Linked DNA regions of Drosophila melanogaster. Changing the gene in region 3 together with the main gene of any one other region gives a genetic interaction. Each region holds a gene or a part of one and is shown on either strand. Other genes may lie near its edges.

Evidence for each region. A genetic interaction does not mean that the proteins touch.
Region 1: of Dcr-1 (region 3) and r2d2, changing one enhances a phenotype caused by changing the other (phenotypic enhancement), as found in Drosophila melanogaster (one study listed by BioGRID).
Region 2: of Dcr-1 (region 3) and mei-P26, changing one suppresses a phenotype caused by changing the other (phenotypic suppression), as found in Drosophila melanogaster (one study listed by BioGRID).

What each region holds. Positions count from the first base shown.
Region 1 is NT_033779.5:7,798,203-7,802,644, reverse strand, and holds r2d2 (r2d2), read right to left. Parts: upstream 2,499-4,442; 5' UTR 2,393-2,498; exon of another isoform or gene 2,300-2,392; 5' UTR 2,143-2,299; coding exon 1,998-2,142; intron 1,925-1,997; coding exon 1,134-1,924; 3' UTR 547-1,133; downstream 1-546. Other genes in the region: Cdc14 (cell division cycle 14), read left to right, coding at 1-158; Herp (Homocysteine-induced endoplasmic reticulum protein), read left to right, coding at 3,133-3,336, 4,022-4,442.
Region 2 is NC_004354.4:9,161,388-9,166,300, reverse strand, and holds the start of mei-P26 (meiotic P26), read right to left. Parts: upstream 3,047-4,913; 5' UTR 2,903-3,046; intron 2,139-2,902; exon of another isoform or gene 1,967-2,138; intron 620-1,966; 5' UTR 1-619. Other genes in the region: CG44532 (uncharacterized protein), read right to left, coding at 3,275-3,826; Zpr1, read left to right, coding at 4,327-4,913.
Region 3 is NT_033777.3:22,735,051-22,742,870, reverse strand, and holds the start of Dcr-1 (Dicer-1), read left to right. Parts: upstream 1-1,779; 5' UTR 1,780-1,840; coding exon 1,841-4,474; intron 4,475-4,526; coding exon 4,527-6,135; intron 6,136-6,192; coding exon 6,193-7,820. Other genes in the region: CG6985 (uncharacterized protein), read right to left, coding at 4-57, 117-716, 775-1,554. UniProt on the Drosophila melanogaster protein: Endoribonuclease which functions in microRNA- (miRNA) gene silencing and, independently of its ribonuclease III activity, also acts in the short interfering RNA- (siRNA) gene silencing pathway.

The sequences.
Region 1 (4,442 bases), on a different chromosome or scaffold from region 3:
CGCCCTCCTCCAGCCAGTGGCAACAGCACCTGGTACGCGGTGTGAGTCGTGCGTCCAGCGAAAAGGATCGGGATCGGGAGCGACAGCAACAACAACAACAACAGTCTCTGGACCATCAACAATCCAATCTCAAGCTGCGCAAGAAGATTAGCTATTGAACACTAATCATATATTGTTTCCTTTAGTTGTGTAAATATTATTTTGACTAGTAAATTGAACGTTTCCCGATGAGATGATGAGATTGATGTGGCGAATGCAATGATTTTTTAGATATTCCAATGCAATCAAATTTGGTGATTGATTAGGAAATTATTTGCAATAACAATCTCATTTATACACTTACATTTTTTTTTAGGAAAACATTTCAAATTGTTATGGATTTGTTATTTAACATATTGTACTAATATAAGATAACCCATTAAAAGGCAAGCAATTGACATTGAAATTGTTAATACATTGTTGAAAGTTTTTAAGAGGAACGCTTAGTTTTCATTTTAGCATTGTGTTGTAAAAATAAAATCAAAAATGCTGAAGACTACGAAGCACTTTATTTATTTTAGACTGAAACCCCTTTTATTCGTATAAAAGTTGTACTTGTAAAAAAAAAAAGAAATGCAGCATTTTTACCATTTTTTTCCGTCAAATTATTTAAAATATTTGTTTCAAGTAAGTCTTTGATTACTAGCATTCCTTTTAAAGGCAAATGTTCAGATTTTTAATTTCACTGTGCAATACATATTTATGTAAATTGCTTCAAATATTTTATAATCAGTTGTTGCAAACAATAAGTTCGGACCGTATAAATACTTTACATTTTAATAGAATTAACATTGGTATTGGCATCGAAAAGTAATTAATAATATCATTATGTTATACCTTCTCGAAAGTAAAAGTTGTTGTACCCACTCCCCTTACTTATTTCCTTGGATTTTTTACACCTATCTCAATCGTGTACAAAGTTAACATAGATGTTTACTAAAAGACCTTGAAAATAATTTTTTTATGTTTCCCACCTACAAATTGGTGGAGATTGTATTAATCGTAAGATTAAATGAAATATGTGCATTCTAGAGTGTAAATAAAACGAGTTTACTTAGTTTTAAGCTAGAATAGTTGAATAAATGTTATACGCATTAAATCAACATGGTGCGAAAATAGTCTATTATATGGTCGTAGATATCGGTCTCCTTTGCCATAAGGACCACGTCGAATGCACAATTAAGCTCGACGCTAAGCAAGGGAACCAACGATGAAGATTCCACTTCACTGATTTTGGGTGTTATCTTTAAAGAGCTCATTACGTCCATAGCCTTATCCTTGGAGCTCTCGTATTCATCTGAATTGATGGCCTCAATGGCCTCCTTTTTCAGGGTAGGATAGAAGTTCTTGAAGTAGTTGTGTCGGTCGCAGAGCCGCATGCCTGTATGGTCTACGCTCCCGGCTTCCTTCAACTCCCAGTAGGTGGTAAATTTCTTTCTGCGCAATGCCTCCAATTCCTCCATAGATTCTTCCATATCAACAACTTTCAATTTGCTTGTGCTCGCTACTTGCATTTGATCCGGACGCAAATTGTCCGAATTGCTGGAGATTAAGGCCAGCATTTCAATGGCCGCTCGCTGACGGGCATCCTTCTTTTTGTCCGACTTTCCGTAGCGTACTATGGAGGCCACGGAGCAACAGGCCACGAATTCCGGGGCGCTCGGGGTGCCGCTTTGCTGCACTACCTCAATGCAGGGCAGTGGCATCTCGCGGCGGACGCAGTAGTCACGCAGCTCCTTCACCATGTCCCGGTTGAGGTTAGTCAGTTCCTCATCCAGATCACCCACAGTCGAATCCTTCATCAAGCCGTGTATGCCGGGCAGCAGTTGGATTTTACGCAAGATATTGCTGGCAGCCAGGTGTTTGGCATCACGCTTCGAACGCCCTAGAATTGGATAAATATGTGGCGGTTTAGATACGAATATAAATAGTGGTTGAGATTTGTAATTTAAATTTACCATTTCCAAGGGCCTCTATCTCCAATAGTTCAACTTTACAGACGTACCCTCCGTCTTCGCCGGGAATAAAACTGTATGTTGGTAGATTAATCTGTGTCCGGGCACAAAACTCCTGTAGAGCAGATACGGCTGACTTGTTATCCATGAGTTCAAGGGGAAAAGGCACGTCGGACGTGCTAACATTCAACAGAATATAACCATATATATAATTTATAAAATATCTAAAGCACTGCAATGTTATTAGAGATGGCACGCGAATCACGAAGCGGCAACGATAGAATAGGAAATCTTGACGAAGACATCTGTAAATGAATTATTTTATGCCGCTTTGTCAAAAAAATATTTTCACGAAATAGTATTGAATTCGTAATTCGAATACGAAAACAGCGGCAAACCTTCTTAACTTTTTTACTAAGGAGCAAATGCATTTTATATGCTATTCGGTGTTTTCATTCAAAGTTCAACGTCTGAAGTGTTATACATAATCGACACGTCACGATGACGCGAGTTGGCATCCCCGTAAGTCAAGGCAACCCTGTTGCGTAGTATATGGCATTAACAAGTGTTGCTGTCAGTGATGAGCAAAATCCACAACTGCAAATAACTAGATACCGTATATTTTTCAAAGGAATAAATTCTAAAAACACTAAAACCAAGTGTTTGAGCAACGACTTTAATATTTTCCAACTGTGTACTTAAATTGCCACATCCCACACACTTTGGAAAATCAATTCTCAGCTGTTTGTGCAACCTGCGACTTAAAAATACCTGCTACTCGCGGCAGCCCTGTGACCGACGCTCATCACTTGCCACAGGTCAGAACCAAATGAAGAGTAGTTTTTGATCAACTGCGGAACGTTTACTGCGTTTCATAATCAATAACTCTGTGCTGCGAGCAAAACACCACAGAACGAACAGCTGTTGAAAACCAAACAATAGCATAATACCAAATTAAATGTCAAATTCAGAATAAACTATTTCTCGAAAATACGCAGAGAGCAGAGCGGAGTAGGAAGTGAGAAACAGTGGCTGCGTAAAAAGTGTCCCCGCTAGCGCAGCAAAAACCCATCACCGATCTTCGTATCGCGGTCATTAATTAGCAATAGAAAGTTCTCCGATTCGCGGGGTCAGCCAGATGGAGGAGAACGCCGCCCCACCCGCAGCCGCAACAGCCGCGGGCTGCGATGCCGCCACCCGTCAAAAGAATCCGGAAACCAGTGTCCGGCTGCTCATCAAGTCGTCCAACCAGCAGTATGAGGATCTCAATGTGGACTCCGATCTCTGCTGGACGGTCCAGAGGCTGAAGAAGCACCTATCTCTTATCTATCCTGGCAAACCGGTGGGTTATCGAGTTGGTTCCCCCCCTTGTTATCGTATAGGTAGAAAACTGGCCAGGAGCCCCATTATCTTATCGAGAAGTTTGTTATTGTTTATCATCTTCGTTTAGGATTCATAGGTGTGTCGGTTCCCAAAGCTATTTGCGTCTTAGTCGCAAGTACACGTCAGTGGATTGCTCCTCTAAATTATAGTCGCCGTCATGCACTTGCGTCATGCACTTGGTCTATGCCAAATCGATGGGTCGGAACTGGGAACTGGGATTAATTTGGTTACGGTTAGAAAGTGATAAGATTTTTGGACATATTCACGCTCCACTCATGTGCCAAGTTTTTTATGTACATATGTACATCCCACATATCAATATCACTGATATATACTAAAGATTCAGATCATTGCAGGCAGAAAAAATACATTAGCACTCTTTATTTCCAGAGCAAATCAAGTAGAATTTATAAAAATTTATTTAGTTTCAAGTATCATTTCCATAAAGTCAACTGACAAGTACAAGTTGTTATCTCTTGGAGTGTGCAAATAAATAGATTTAGGCACTGTTTGATAGTATAAATTTCGCGCGGAGGTAAAAGCAACAATGAGTTATCTCTAGGTTCCCTCTGAATACCTATAATGTGAAATTTTATGTTTTATGTTTTGACCACTATAACTATTTCTTTCCATTTTTTCTGTAGTTAATCCAGGACCAGAAACTTATTTACTCGGGCAAGCTATTAGATGACTCCCAAAAGATATCTGAGGTGATACGCAGCTACAAGGATGTCTACCAACAGCACCACATATTTCACTTGGTGTGTGCCAGCAAGCAAGTGATAAGGCCGGCTGCCAAAGCCCCCACTGTTCCGCAGAAGGATGCGGTTCCAGCTGGGCCCGAGGTCACTGGGAATGCAAATGAGCTGCGACAACGTCATGCTCCACATCAGCAGCAGGCACAGCAGGGCAACGCTGGACCACACGTGACGGGTGACATCGGTTTGGCCAATCCCTGGACACACTTCTGGCAGCAGAGCCAGGGAGCAGCACCTGCTGCCAATGCCAGTGCCAGTCCCCATGCTTTGTTCCAGCAGCAGGCGCTCATCTACAACGCCTGGATGC
Region 2 (4,913 bases), on a different chromosome or scaffold from region 3:
CTTTTCTAGTCCTTTGCGCTTGCTTGCATTTGCTGCTGATCCTATTCCTGATCCTATTCCTGATCCTAATCCTGCTGCTGCTGCTGCTGCTGCTGCTACTTCTGCTGCTCCCTAATGTCCCTCCGCTCTCCCACGAGGGCCATTCCAATTGAGGTCCCTTCTATTGCCGCAAGAAAAGGCCAACAATAGTTCGTTTCGTCGGGGTAAAAATGAGCGAAGGACCTATACAATCCACGCGCACGCACACACACACACACTGATGCGCAACAAACACCCCTTCTTCTCCTCCGCTTACTTAAAATGTATTGCAAATTTGTAAACAAATTTGCGAGCCTCCTTCGGCTTTCGGCTTATCTTAGTTTTTTGGTTTTTGTTTGGTGTTTTCGATTGTTGTTGCTGATTCGCTGCTTGTCTTACTTTTCTAGATATTTAGATATTGCCGAATATTTTTAAAGCATTTGGAAACTGTGTATTGCAGTGATCCTCCTCCTGTTTGATGTGGCTGTTCTTTTGCTTCTTCTTGTTGCACAAGGACGAAATAAAATTAAGGACGAACGAGGAGACGACAACAAACACTGACGAAGAACACGGCGATGCAAATTGGACGACAGCGCCGCTCCTTTTGGTATTTAAAAAAGAACAATGGATACAAAAATCACGTTAATCGGTGGCTAGAAATTTACAAAAATGTACAAATTAATAAATATAAAACTAAAACAGAAATATAAATTCTGTAACGCAGAACAAAATATATCAAATATAGATGAACCTTACTGACATATGGAGAAAGGGAATTTGGCATTAAATCAAATGAAACATTTCTTTTTTACCCTTTCCATACGCAGTGCAACCCCCTTTAAAACGCCTCTGGCTTTTGCAACAGCACACACACACTCACACACTCTGCTGCATACTTTCCGGATGTTAGCAAAGTATATTGGCCATTTTTCAGATAAATCTAATTTCAAAATTAACGTAACTCAGCAAGAATTGGAAATGCGATTCTTATTGATATACAATAGGTAATAATTTTCTTATTCATTTTGAAGTCCTAAGTCAGTTAAGTAAAAAAAATAATAAAAATATGATTAGGTTTGAAAACTTTTTATTGATTACCAAAATTGTGTTATTTAGTGAAATATCTATATCTATCTATATCTATATCTATAATTTTATGTCATCATCTGACAAGAATTGTTGCCTTCTTCCAATTCGACTGCGACGGGACCTTAGGCGTAGTCCAATTCAAAACGCTTGGCATTTGTATAACGCTTTCCCATGAAATCGAATTTGAATTAATATAGCCGGCAAGAGCTACCAGGATGGAATGGAATAATGCCGTTTTGAGAGTTTAATGGGAAAGGATAAGAACTAGCAACATAGATTTCGTGCATTGAATGTTTATCCGATCGTAGGTTATCCAATTAATGTCTATGTTAGGCCACTAATGGAGAGAGTGGGGAAGGGGGTGGTAGTATCGGTTCCCTTTTGCGTTAAGTTTACGTTACGTTTTTCTCCGTTATGTGTAGCTATGCGCCACACACACACACACACACACACACATCAAGCTCTTCTTTACTCCTGCTTCCTGCTTTTGCTACCCGTTCACGCAGGCGCGTTCATAGTGATGACCTTTCTAGCCATTTATCCGCTAGCTGCGCAAAAAAATAGCTGCCCTAACAAGGACAAGCTGGGGCACAAAGTCCTTGAACAACTAATTCAATTGGGGCAAGGCAATTGCCTAAATAAATACGTTTAAATCAGCGGAAGTGAGCGGTAGTTTAAAATCTACTTTAGTTTTGTGCCCCCTCCAAACACTCGCAACCAAACACCCACATGCCGAATCAGCTGCATACACACAGACACAAGCGCCTACAAGCGAACACACGTGGTAAACGGAATTTAGTACCGCTGCTTTGCCCCTTTTTTTCACTGTTCTGTTTTATTTTGCTTTGCTTTATCGGACCTGGATGATTTTGTTGGTCCCCCTATCGACTTTGTCAATTCTGCGCCGCAGCTGATATTTTCTTGTCCATTTCCACGTACTTTTTGATTTATTTCACTTTTAAATGTGTGCCGCTCTCTCTCTTGCTACTCGCAAACGGTTATTTTCGAGTGCAGCGCTGGCTGGGCTGCGAAAGAGATAGAAGAGGAGCGATAAGCGATTGAGAGAGAGAGAGAGCGAAAAATCGGTTATGCGAAGAAAAGTTCTCAATTTCGTTCGTATTGGTGTGCGCAAGCTCACTCAACGCGGCAAAAAATGAAATACGAATACGAAAAACGGCACCCACACATACAGAATACAAAAAAAAACACACACACACACCATGTGAAATTAAAACTGAATTCCCTTTTTCGATTTCGGAATAAACACTATTCTTGACCGACCGGACGAACTGTCGTCGATTTAAAAGTTTTAGTTGGGGGGCGCGGGTGGTGGCTAAGACAACTCTCGACGGGGTCGCGGGGTGACAATCGACAAGGGGGGGCACTGCCGTTGTCCTTGAACGCAAAATTTCCACTTGACTACCGCCCAGGTGGTCGTGGTCAAAAGGCACTCAACACACACGCCTGCACATGCATACACACACACTCTCACAAACCGAACAGCAGACAGGAGGCGAAAAAGGTCCTTGAAATGCCTGAACACTTCACTGTCTGTCCGGCGTTGTCAGCTTTTACTGTCCAATTTAAACTGCTAACTGCTTTTTCGCAACTGTCACCACCTTATATTTAAATGTAGTTTTCGTTTTCACACGTTTTTTTGTTGGTTCTTTTTGTTTTTTGCTGCTCTCTTTTGCTTGTTACGTTACGATTTTATATTTGCCCGTCCCACACAAACGCCTACACGCAGGAACACAAGAGAACACTACACACCACAGGCAGTTATATCTACAGTTACCGTTATTCACTGATTCAGCGAATTTAGCACGTTCTGGGACATTAAAAACAACCAGAAGACCGCCAATTTGATTGGAGTCGATAATTATTGGATTAAACAAATAATTACTTTACTGCTCCCGTCGAACTTTTGTATGCAGTGCAGCTAGGGATGATAGATATATATTTCAGCACAGCCACGTATCGATAGTTTTTGAAAAGCGATGCCCTGATATCGATAGTTATATTGAATAAACGCGTATCGGTCGCCAAATATTTATTTTAAGTTTTCATTCCGCAAAGCTTACATCTTTAATAAGTATAATATAATTATATATATATATATTTAAATAATAACACAAAATACGCTTTATTATTACATGTTACATTACATTTAAATGTCAGTTTGACTCATTTCCGCATGCATATTTTGCATATCAGTTAAATAGGGTAAAATGATGGGATTAATCCCATTCCTTGTCACGCATTCCAACTCGTTTATAATATTATCCAATCTGTCCATCAATATCCGATGCTCTCTAAGCATAGAATTGAATTGATCTTCAGAATTCTGCTGCGATGCGGGCACGTGTTTAGTATCCAATTCCGATGCGTGCACGTTTTCAGTATCATTTTCCGATGCGTGCAGTTTTCGATTGAATTCTGATGTATATTCAACTACCAAAGTCTTTATTTTGACAAAGAAGTTGTTTTTAAAGTATGTATGTTCCATTTGCGTCTTTTCGTTGCGAGTTTTAATAGTATTTTCCCCTTTGGAAAATGCATCCCACAAGCTTTGCAATTTGGATAGTCGCCCTTCAAAATATCCAGGTTTAGATTTCCGTTGAGCCGGAGCCTTTTTATAATTGCGAATAATGCTTTGAATCTTCTCGCCCAAATTCATTTGCTCGGCCAACAGCGCACTAATGCTCGACGATCCGGCCATCTTAATTGAAAGTCTCTTAAAATGGTAACAGGAATATCAACAATTCAATGATACTCTAAGCTTGGCTCTTTTTGTACTGCCTTGAATTGTCGCTCTACAAAAGGACTCCAGTTATTTCTGAAAGCGCAGGTAATTTTAGGAAGAACGTGTGTCAGGTAGGTGGTATTCCCAGATTAATATGCAGATGGCCAATCAGTTTTTGTTTTATGGCCTTACCGTGTACCGCTACAGGTAAGCTCTTAAATTTATTTGTGCACCTTTTTATTTCGGGGAATTTTCTATCGAACACGAGTAAATTCTCGAGCGTTTAAGATCAACGCGCCGAGCACACTTCTGGGTATTTAAGGAGTTTTAAGCATATGCAAGCCGGTCACACGACGACTATCGACACTTATCGTCAGCGTCTATCGATTAAACTTGCACGTTTCGCCCCAAACATATACATTTCATTTAAAAAAGCACACTTAAACAGGAACTTTCGTGTGGATAGCAATCAAATCATGTCCACCGTGAGCGACCCCAACAGTAGCAATCCGCCGGAGAGTGCGGGGAACATTCGGCCGGAGCCCATTTTCCGGGAAATCAATGCGGAGCAGACCGACGAGATAGTGGAGGTCGAATCCGCCTGCATGAACTGCTTCGAAACGGGAGTCACTCGGCTGCTGCCCACCAAGATACCCTTTTTTCGCGAGGTGGTGCTCATGTCCTTCAAGTGCGACCACTGCGGCCACATCAACAACGAGATGCAGTCGGCATCGGAGATCCAAAAGTCCGGCATTCGCATCGAACTGCGAGTGCAATCCGTGGCTGATCTCAATCGGCGCGTGGTGCGCTCGGATAACTCCAGCATCAGCATACCGGAGATCGAGCTAGAGATTCCGGTGCAGTCGCAGAAGGGCGAGGTGACCACCGTCGAAGGCATCATCGAGCGGACGATAGCCGGCTTGTCGCAGGATCAGGAGAAGCGGCGCATCGATCATCCGGAGACAGCTGCTTCAATTGAAAAGTACATCGAGCGATTGCACCGCCTAAAGGAGGTGACAACACCCTTTCAAGTGCTTCTCGAGGACATATCCGGCAATAGTTT
Region 3 (7,820 bases):
CACCTCAAAGAAAACACGGTCAAAAGGTGGCTCACTTTTGGTCCAGTCCGCTAGATTCTATAGGTTATCAATGCAATAGGTGATTTATTAATATGATAAGAATTCGAAGTACTCACATTAGATGCGGTCGGTATAAGCTGGCTGCGGCAATTCTGAAGATCTTCTATAGAATCATCACCCATATGCCCATAGAACTGCAACTCCTCCGGAGAACCTCCGGCTGTGATGAGAGTATATATTTTGGTATCCATTGCTCCAACGGCCAGCAGTTGGTTGGCTTGCTGCCTGGAATTGTGATTATAAATAATTAGGTGTTTGCAGCGAAGAGCTCGAAGCGCCGACAAGTCACTGGTCAAAATCAAGCCAATCATTGGTTCTCCATCGGCAAGAGAATTAAATAAGTTCACTTTTTGGGGACCATCTAGCTGCGCATGGTCCAAACTATAACTCTGACAGTATCCCCTGACCAGGGTGAGGCAATCCTCACTGTTTGCCAAGATGCAGCACTTCTCGCCTCGCTCCGCCACTAAGTGATCCAGCATTACGTGTAGAAACTCGAACTTGGCGGAGTCGTAAAGTCCCATGCTTGGCCAAGGCGGCAGTATGGCGTCCAGTACCTCCATTATTTCCTTAAACACTGGATTCGTACCCAAAGTTTTTAGGAGCACAGGATGATCACATACAATTTGGAAGATTTCCTTCAACGTAGACGATTCCTGAAATACAAGTTTTTTGATTTGTTTATGCATGTAAATTGGTCTAAATCTATCTTACTGTTTTAGATGTTTGTGCATATTCAGAAACAAAGAGTAATATTTTTTTCTGCAGTTCAGCTGGAGTTAATAGACACAGATATTCCGATTGGGTGAACTCCTTGGTAGGGTTTTCTATCTTCAAAGTGTTTTGTTCATAGATTTTCTTTCCCATCGAAGTGCTGGAATCGGCGGCTGCATAGGAGACATGTTTATCTTCTCTATGTTGGCTAATTTCCAAATGCGGTGGAGCAAAGGCATCTGCCTCGCGCTTGATCTTCTTGAGCAGATGAGACCTAACGGGTGCACTGTCAGCAGGTGGTGGCGATGTGTCTGTACAACCATTCTGGGCATCTATTTTTTGGCACCAGTTGGCTATTTCCAACTGGCGCTGAATAAGGCACTCCTCGACGGTTTTAATCTCCTCCTGAATCTCGACATCCTTGCTGCCTACTTCCAGCTGATCGTTCTCCTGAAGTTGCCGCTGCTTAAAGTATGTCATGGTGTCCACAACCTTGCCGGTGTCATCCTTCAATGTTACTATGGATCCCGTGACCACCAGCGTTCCGTTGCCAGTCCACGTTTTGTGCTTTTTGGTGGTCTGATTACGCCAGAGCACATGGAAGATGCGGCTATCTTTGAGGGGATTCTCGCCCGCCCTGAATTCTCGAGGTCCCAGGCTTTGGGTGCCCCCTGAGGTGCCCCATTCGCTGGGTAGATTGTTTTTGGGCCAGGAGCAGGGTGACTGTGGTTCCTCTTTGGGAGGCGCCGCTTCGCTCTCTCGCTTTGCAGCGCGGCGCATGGAAGGAGCTTTGGAACGCCGCTTTATGGTGCTAAAGAAGAGGATTACCGGGTATAGTTCACCGTAAATACATAAGTTAATTTAAAAACTTTTGCTATCAACAAAATATAAATATACAAGGCGCAATCTATTTTCAAGCCACTTGTAAGTGTGGCCAATGAAGTGAACCTCGAAAGGTATTCCGAACCCTGGTCACACTGGCATTCTGCTGGTAGCCGGCTCTGGATGATTTTCTGATAGAAATCTCGCAGAGGCAGTGGTGTTTTTGTGAATCCCCTCAGCCACGATGGCGTTCCACTGGTGCGACAACAATCTGCACACCACCGTGTTCACGCCGCGCGACTTTCAGGTGGAGCTACTGGCCACCGCCTACGAGCGGAACACGATTATTTGCCTGGGCCATCGAAGTTCCAAGGAGTTTATAGCCCTCAAGCTGCTCCAGGAGCTGTCGCGTCGAGCACGCCGACATGGTCGTGTCAGTGTCTATCTCAGTTGCGAGGTTGGCACCAGCACGGAACCATGCTCCATCTACACGATGCTCACCCACTTGACTGACCTGCGGGTGTGGCAGGAGCAGCCGGATATGCAAATTCCCTTTGATCATTGCTGGACGGACTATCACGTTTCCATCCTACGGCCAGAGGGATTTCTTTATCTGCTCGAAACTCGCGAGCTGCTGCTGAGCAGCGTCGAACTGATCGTGCTGGAAGATTGTCATGACAGCGCCGTTTATCAGAGGATAAGGCCTCTGTTCGAGAATCACATTATGCCAGCGCCACCGGCGGACAGGCCACGGATTCTCGGACTCGCTGGACCGCTGCACAGCGCCGGATGTGAGCTGCAGCAACTGAGCGCCATGCTGGCCACCCTGGAGCAGAGTGTGCTTTGCCAGATCGAGACGGCCAGTGATATTGTCACCGTGTTGCGTTACTGTTCCCGACCGCACGAATACATCGTACAGTGCGCCCCCTTCGAGATGGACGAACTGTCCCTGGTGCTTGCCGATGTGCTCAACACACACAAGTCCTTTTTATTGGACCACCGCTACGATCCCTACGAAATCTACGGCACAGACCAGTTTATGGACGAACTGAAAGACATACCCGATCCCAAGGTGGACCCCCTGAACGTCATCAACTCACTACTGGTCGTGCTGCACGAGATGGGTCCTTGGTGCACGCAGCGGGCTGCACATCACTTTTACCAATGCAATGAGAAGTTAAAGGTGAAGACGCCGCACGAACGTCACTACTTGCTGTACTGCCTAGTGAGCACGGCCCTTATCCAACTGTACTCCCTCTGCGAACACGCATTCCATCGACATTTAGGAAGTGGCAGCGATTCACGCCAGACCATCGAACGCTATTCCAGCCCCAAGGTGCGACGTCTGTTGCAGACACTGAGGTGCTTCAAGCCGGAAGAGGTGCACACCCAAGCGGACGGACTGCGCAGAATGCGGCATCAGGTGGATCAGGCGGACTTCAATCGGTTATCTCATACGCTGGAAAGCAAGTGCCGAATGGTGGATCAAATGGACCAACCGCCGACGGAGACACGAGCCCTGGTGGCCACTCTTGAGCAGATTCTGCACACGACAGAGGACAGGCAGACGAACAGAAGCGCCGCTCGGGTGACTCCTACTCCTACTCCCGCTCATGCGAAGCCGAAACCTAGCTCTGGTGCCAACACTGCACAACCACGAACTCGTAGACGTGTGTACACCAGGCGCCACCACCGGGATCACAATGATGGCAGCGACACGCTCTGCGCACTGATTTACTGCAACCAGAACCACACGGCTCGCGTGCTCTTTGAGCTTCTAGCGGAGATTAGCAGACGTGATCCCGATCTCAAGTTCCTACGCTGCCAGTACACCACGGACCGGGTGGCAGATCCCACCACGGAGCCCAAAGAGGCTGAGTTGGAGCACCGGCGGCAGGAAGAGGTGCTAAAGCGCTTCCGCATGCATGACTGCAATGTCCTGATCGGTACTTCGGTGCTGGAAGAGGGCATCGATGTGCCCAAGTGCAATTTGGTTGTGCGCTGGGATCCGCCAACCACATATCGCAGTTACGTTCAGTGCAAAGGTCGAGCCCGTGCTGCTCCAGCCTATCATGTCATTCTCGTCGCTCCGAGTTATAAAAGCCCAACTGTGGGGTCAGTGCAGCTGACCGATCGGAGTCATCGGTATATTTGCGCGACTGGTGATACTACAGAGGCGGACAGCGACTCTGATGATTCAGCGATGCCAAACTCGTCCGGCTCGGATCCCTATACTTTTGGCACGGCACGCGGAACCGTGAAGATCCTCAACCCCGAAGTGTTCAGTAAACAACCACCGACAGCGTGCGACATTAAGCTGCAGGAGATCCAGGACGAATTGCCAGCCGCAGCGCAGCTGGATACGAGCAACTCCAGCGACGAAGCCGTCAGCATGAGTAACACGTCTCCAAGCGAGAGCAGTACAGAACAAAAATCCAGACGCTTCCAGTGCGAGCTGAGCTCTTTAACGGAGCCAGAAGACACAAGTGATACTACAGCCGAAATCGATACTGCTCATAGTTTAGCCAGCACCACGAAGGACTTGGTGCATCAAATGGCACAGTATCGCGAAATCGAGCAGATGCTGCTATCCAAGTGCGCCAACACAGAGCCGCCGGAGCAGGAGCAGAGTGAGGCGGAACGTTTTAGTGCCTGCCTGGCCGCATACCGACCCAAGCCGCACCTGCTAACAGGCGCCTCCGTGGATCTGGGTTCTGCTATAGCTTTGGTCAACAAGTACTGCGCCCGACTGCCAAGCGACACGTTCACCAAGTTGACGGCGTTGTGGCGCTGCACCCGAAACGAAAGGGCTGGAGTGACCCTGTTTCAGTACACACTCCGTCTGCCCATCAACTCGCCATTGAAGCATGACATTGTGGTAAGTACTTGTAATACGAATTATTTAAGATTTGTTAAATACTCTTCTTTAGGGTCTTCCGATGCCAACTCAAACATTGGCCCGCCGACTGGCTGCCTTGCAGGCTTGCGTGGAACTGCACAGGATCGGTGAGTTAGACGATCAGTTGCAGCCTATCGGCAAGGAGGGATTTCGTGCCCTGGAGCCGGACTGGGAGTGCTTTGAACTGGAGCCAGAGGACGAACAGATTGTGCAGCTAAGCGATGAACCACGTCCGGGAACAACGAAGCGTCGTCAGTACTATTACAAACGCATTGCATCCGAATTTTGCGATTGCCGTCCCGTTGCCGGAGCGCCATGCTATTTGTACTTTATCCAACTGACGCTCCAATGTCCGATTCCCGAAGAGCAAAACACGCGGGGACGCAAGATTTATCCGCCCGAAGATGCGCAGCAGGGATTCGGCATTCTAACCACCAAACGGATACCCAAGCTGAGTGCTTTCTCGATATTCACGCGTTCCGGTGAGGTGAAGGTTTCCCTGGAGTTAGCTAAGGAACGCGTGATTCTAACTAGCGAACAAATAGTCTGCATCAACGGATTTTTAAACTACACGTTCACCAATGTACTGCGTTTGCAAAAGTTTCTGATGCTCTTCGATCCGGACTCCACGGAAAATTGTGTATTCATTGTGCCCACCGTGAAGGCACCAGCTGGCGGCAAGCACATCGACTGGCAGTTTCTGGAGCTGATCCAAGCGAATGGAAATACAATGCCACGGGCAGTGCCCGATGAGGAGCGCCAGGCGCAGCCGTTTGATCCGCAACGCTTCCAGGATGCCGTCGTTATGCCGTGGTATCGCAACCAGGATCAACCGCAGTATTTCTATGTGGCGGAGATATGTCCACATCTATCCCCACTCAGCTGCTTCCCTGGTGACAACTACCGCACGTTCAAGCACTACTACCTCGTCAAGTATGGTCTGACCATACAGAATACCTCGCAGCCGCTATTGGACGTGGATCACACCAGTGCGCGGTTAAACTTCCTCACGCCACGATACGTTAATCGCAAGGGCGTTGCTCTGCCCACTAGTTCGGAGGAGACAAAGCGGGCAAAGCGCGAGAATCTCGAACAGAAGCAGATCCTTGTGCCAGAGCTCTGCACTGTGCATCCATTCCCCGCCTCCTTGTGGCGAACTGCCGTGTGCCTGCCCTGCATCCTGTACCGCATAAATGGTCTTCTATTGGCCGACGATATTCGGAAACAGGTTTCTGCGGATCTGGGGCTGGGAAGGCAACAGATCGAAGATGAGGATTTCGAGTGGCCCATGCTGGACTTTGGGTGGAGTCTATCGGAGGTGCTCAAGAAATCGCGGGAGTCCAAACAAAAGGAGTCCCTTAAGGATGATACTATTAATGGCAAAGACTTAGCTGATGTTGAAAAGAAACCGACTAGCGAGGAGACCCAACTAGATAAGGATTCAAAAGACGATAAGGTTGAGAAAAGTGCTATTGAACTAATCATTGAGGGAGAGGAGAAGCTGCAAGAGGCTGATGACTTCATTGAGATAGGCACTTGGTCAAACGATATGGCCGACGATATAGCTAGTTTTAACCAAGAAGACGACGACGAGGATGACGCCTTCCATCTCCCAGTTTTACCGGCAAACGTTAAGTTCTGTAAGTTATTTAAATCCCTTGCTAAGGATCAGAAATAATCCCTAATACATCTTACAGGTGATCAGCAAACGCGCTACGGTTCGCCCACATTTTGGGATGTGAGCAATGGCGAAAGCGGCTTCAAGGGTCCAAAGAGCAGTCAGAATAAGCAGGGTGGCAAGGGCAAAGCAAAGGGTCCGGCAAAGCCCACATTTAACTATTATGACTCGGACAATTCGCTGGGTTCCAGCTACGATGACGACGATAACGCAGGTCCGCTCAATTACATGCATCACAACTACAGTTCGGATGACGACGATGTGGCAGATGATATCGATGCGGGACGCATTGCGTTCACCTCCAAGAATGAAGCGGAGACTATTGAAACCGCACAGGAAGTGGAAAAGCGCCAGAAGCAGCTGTCCATCATCCAGGCGACCAATGCTAACGAGCGGCAGTATCAGCAGACAAAGAACCTGCTCATTGGATTCAATTTTAAGCATGAGGACCAGAAGGAACCTGCCACTATAAGATATGAAGAATCCATAGCTAAGCTCAAAACGGAAATAGAATCCGGCGGCATGTTGGTGCCGCACGACCAGCAGTTGGTTCTAAAAAGAAGTGATGCCGCTGAGGCTCAGGTTGCAAAGGTATCGATGATGGAGCTATTGAAGCAGCTGCTGCCGTATGTAAATGAAGATGTGCTGGCCAAAAAGCTGGGTGATAGGCGCGAGCTTCTGCTGTCGGATTTGGTAGAGCTAAATGCAGATTGGGTAGCGCGACATGAGCAGGAGACCTACAATGTAATGGGATGCGGAGATAGTTTTGACAACTATAACGATCATCATCGGCTGAACTTGGATGAAAAGCAACTGAAACTGCAATACGAACGAATTGAAATTGAGCCACCTACTTCCACGAAGGCCATAACCTCAGCCATATTACCAGCTGGCTTCAGTTTCGATCGACAACCGGATCTAGTGGGCCATCCAGGACCCAGTCCCAGCATCATTTTGCAAGCCCTCACAATGTCCAATGCTAACGATGGCATCAATCTGGAGCGACTGGAGACAATTGGAGATTCCTTTCTAAAGTATGCCATTACCACCTACTTGTACATCACCTACGAGAATGTGCACGAGGGAAAACTAAGTCACCTGCGCTCCAAGCAGGTTGCCAATCTCAATCTCTATCGTCTGGGCAGACGTAAGAGACTGGGTGAATATATGATAGCCACTAAATTCGAGCCGCACGACAATTGGCTGCCACCCTGCTACTACGTGCCAAAGGAGCTAGAGAAGGCGCTCATCGAGGCGAAGATCCCCACTCACCATTGGAAGCTGGCCGATCTGCTAGACATTAAGAACCTAAGCAGTGTGCAAATCTGCGAGATGGTTCGCGAAAAAGCCGATGCCCTGGGCTTGGAGCAGAATGGGGGTGCCCAAAATGGACAACTTGACGACTCCAATGATAGCTGCAATGATTTTAGCTGTTTTATTCCCTACAACCTTGTTTCGCAACACAGCATTCCGGATAAGTCTATTGCCGATTGCGTCGAAGCCCTCATTGGAGCCTATCTCATTGAGTGCGGACCCCGAGGGGCTTTACTCTTTATGGCCTGGCTGGGCGTGAGAGTGCTCCCTATCACAAGGCAGTTGGACGGGGGTAACCAGGAGCAACGAATACCCGGTAGCACAAAACCGAAT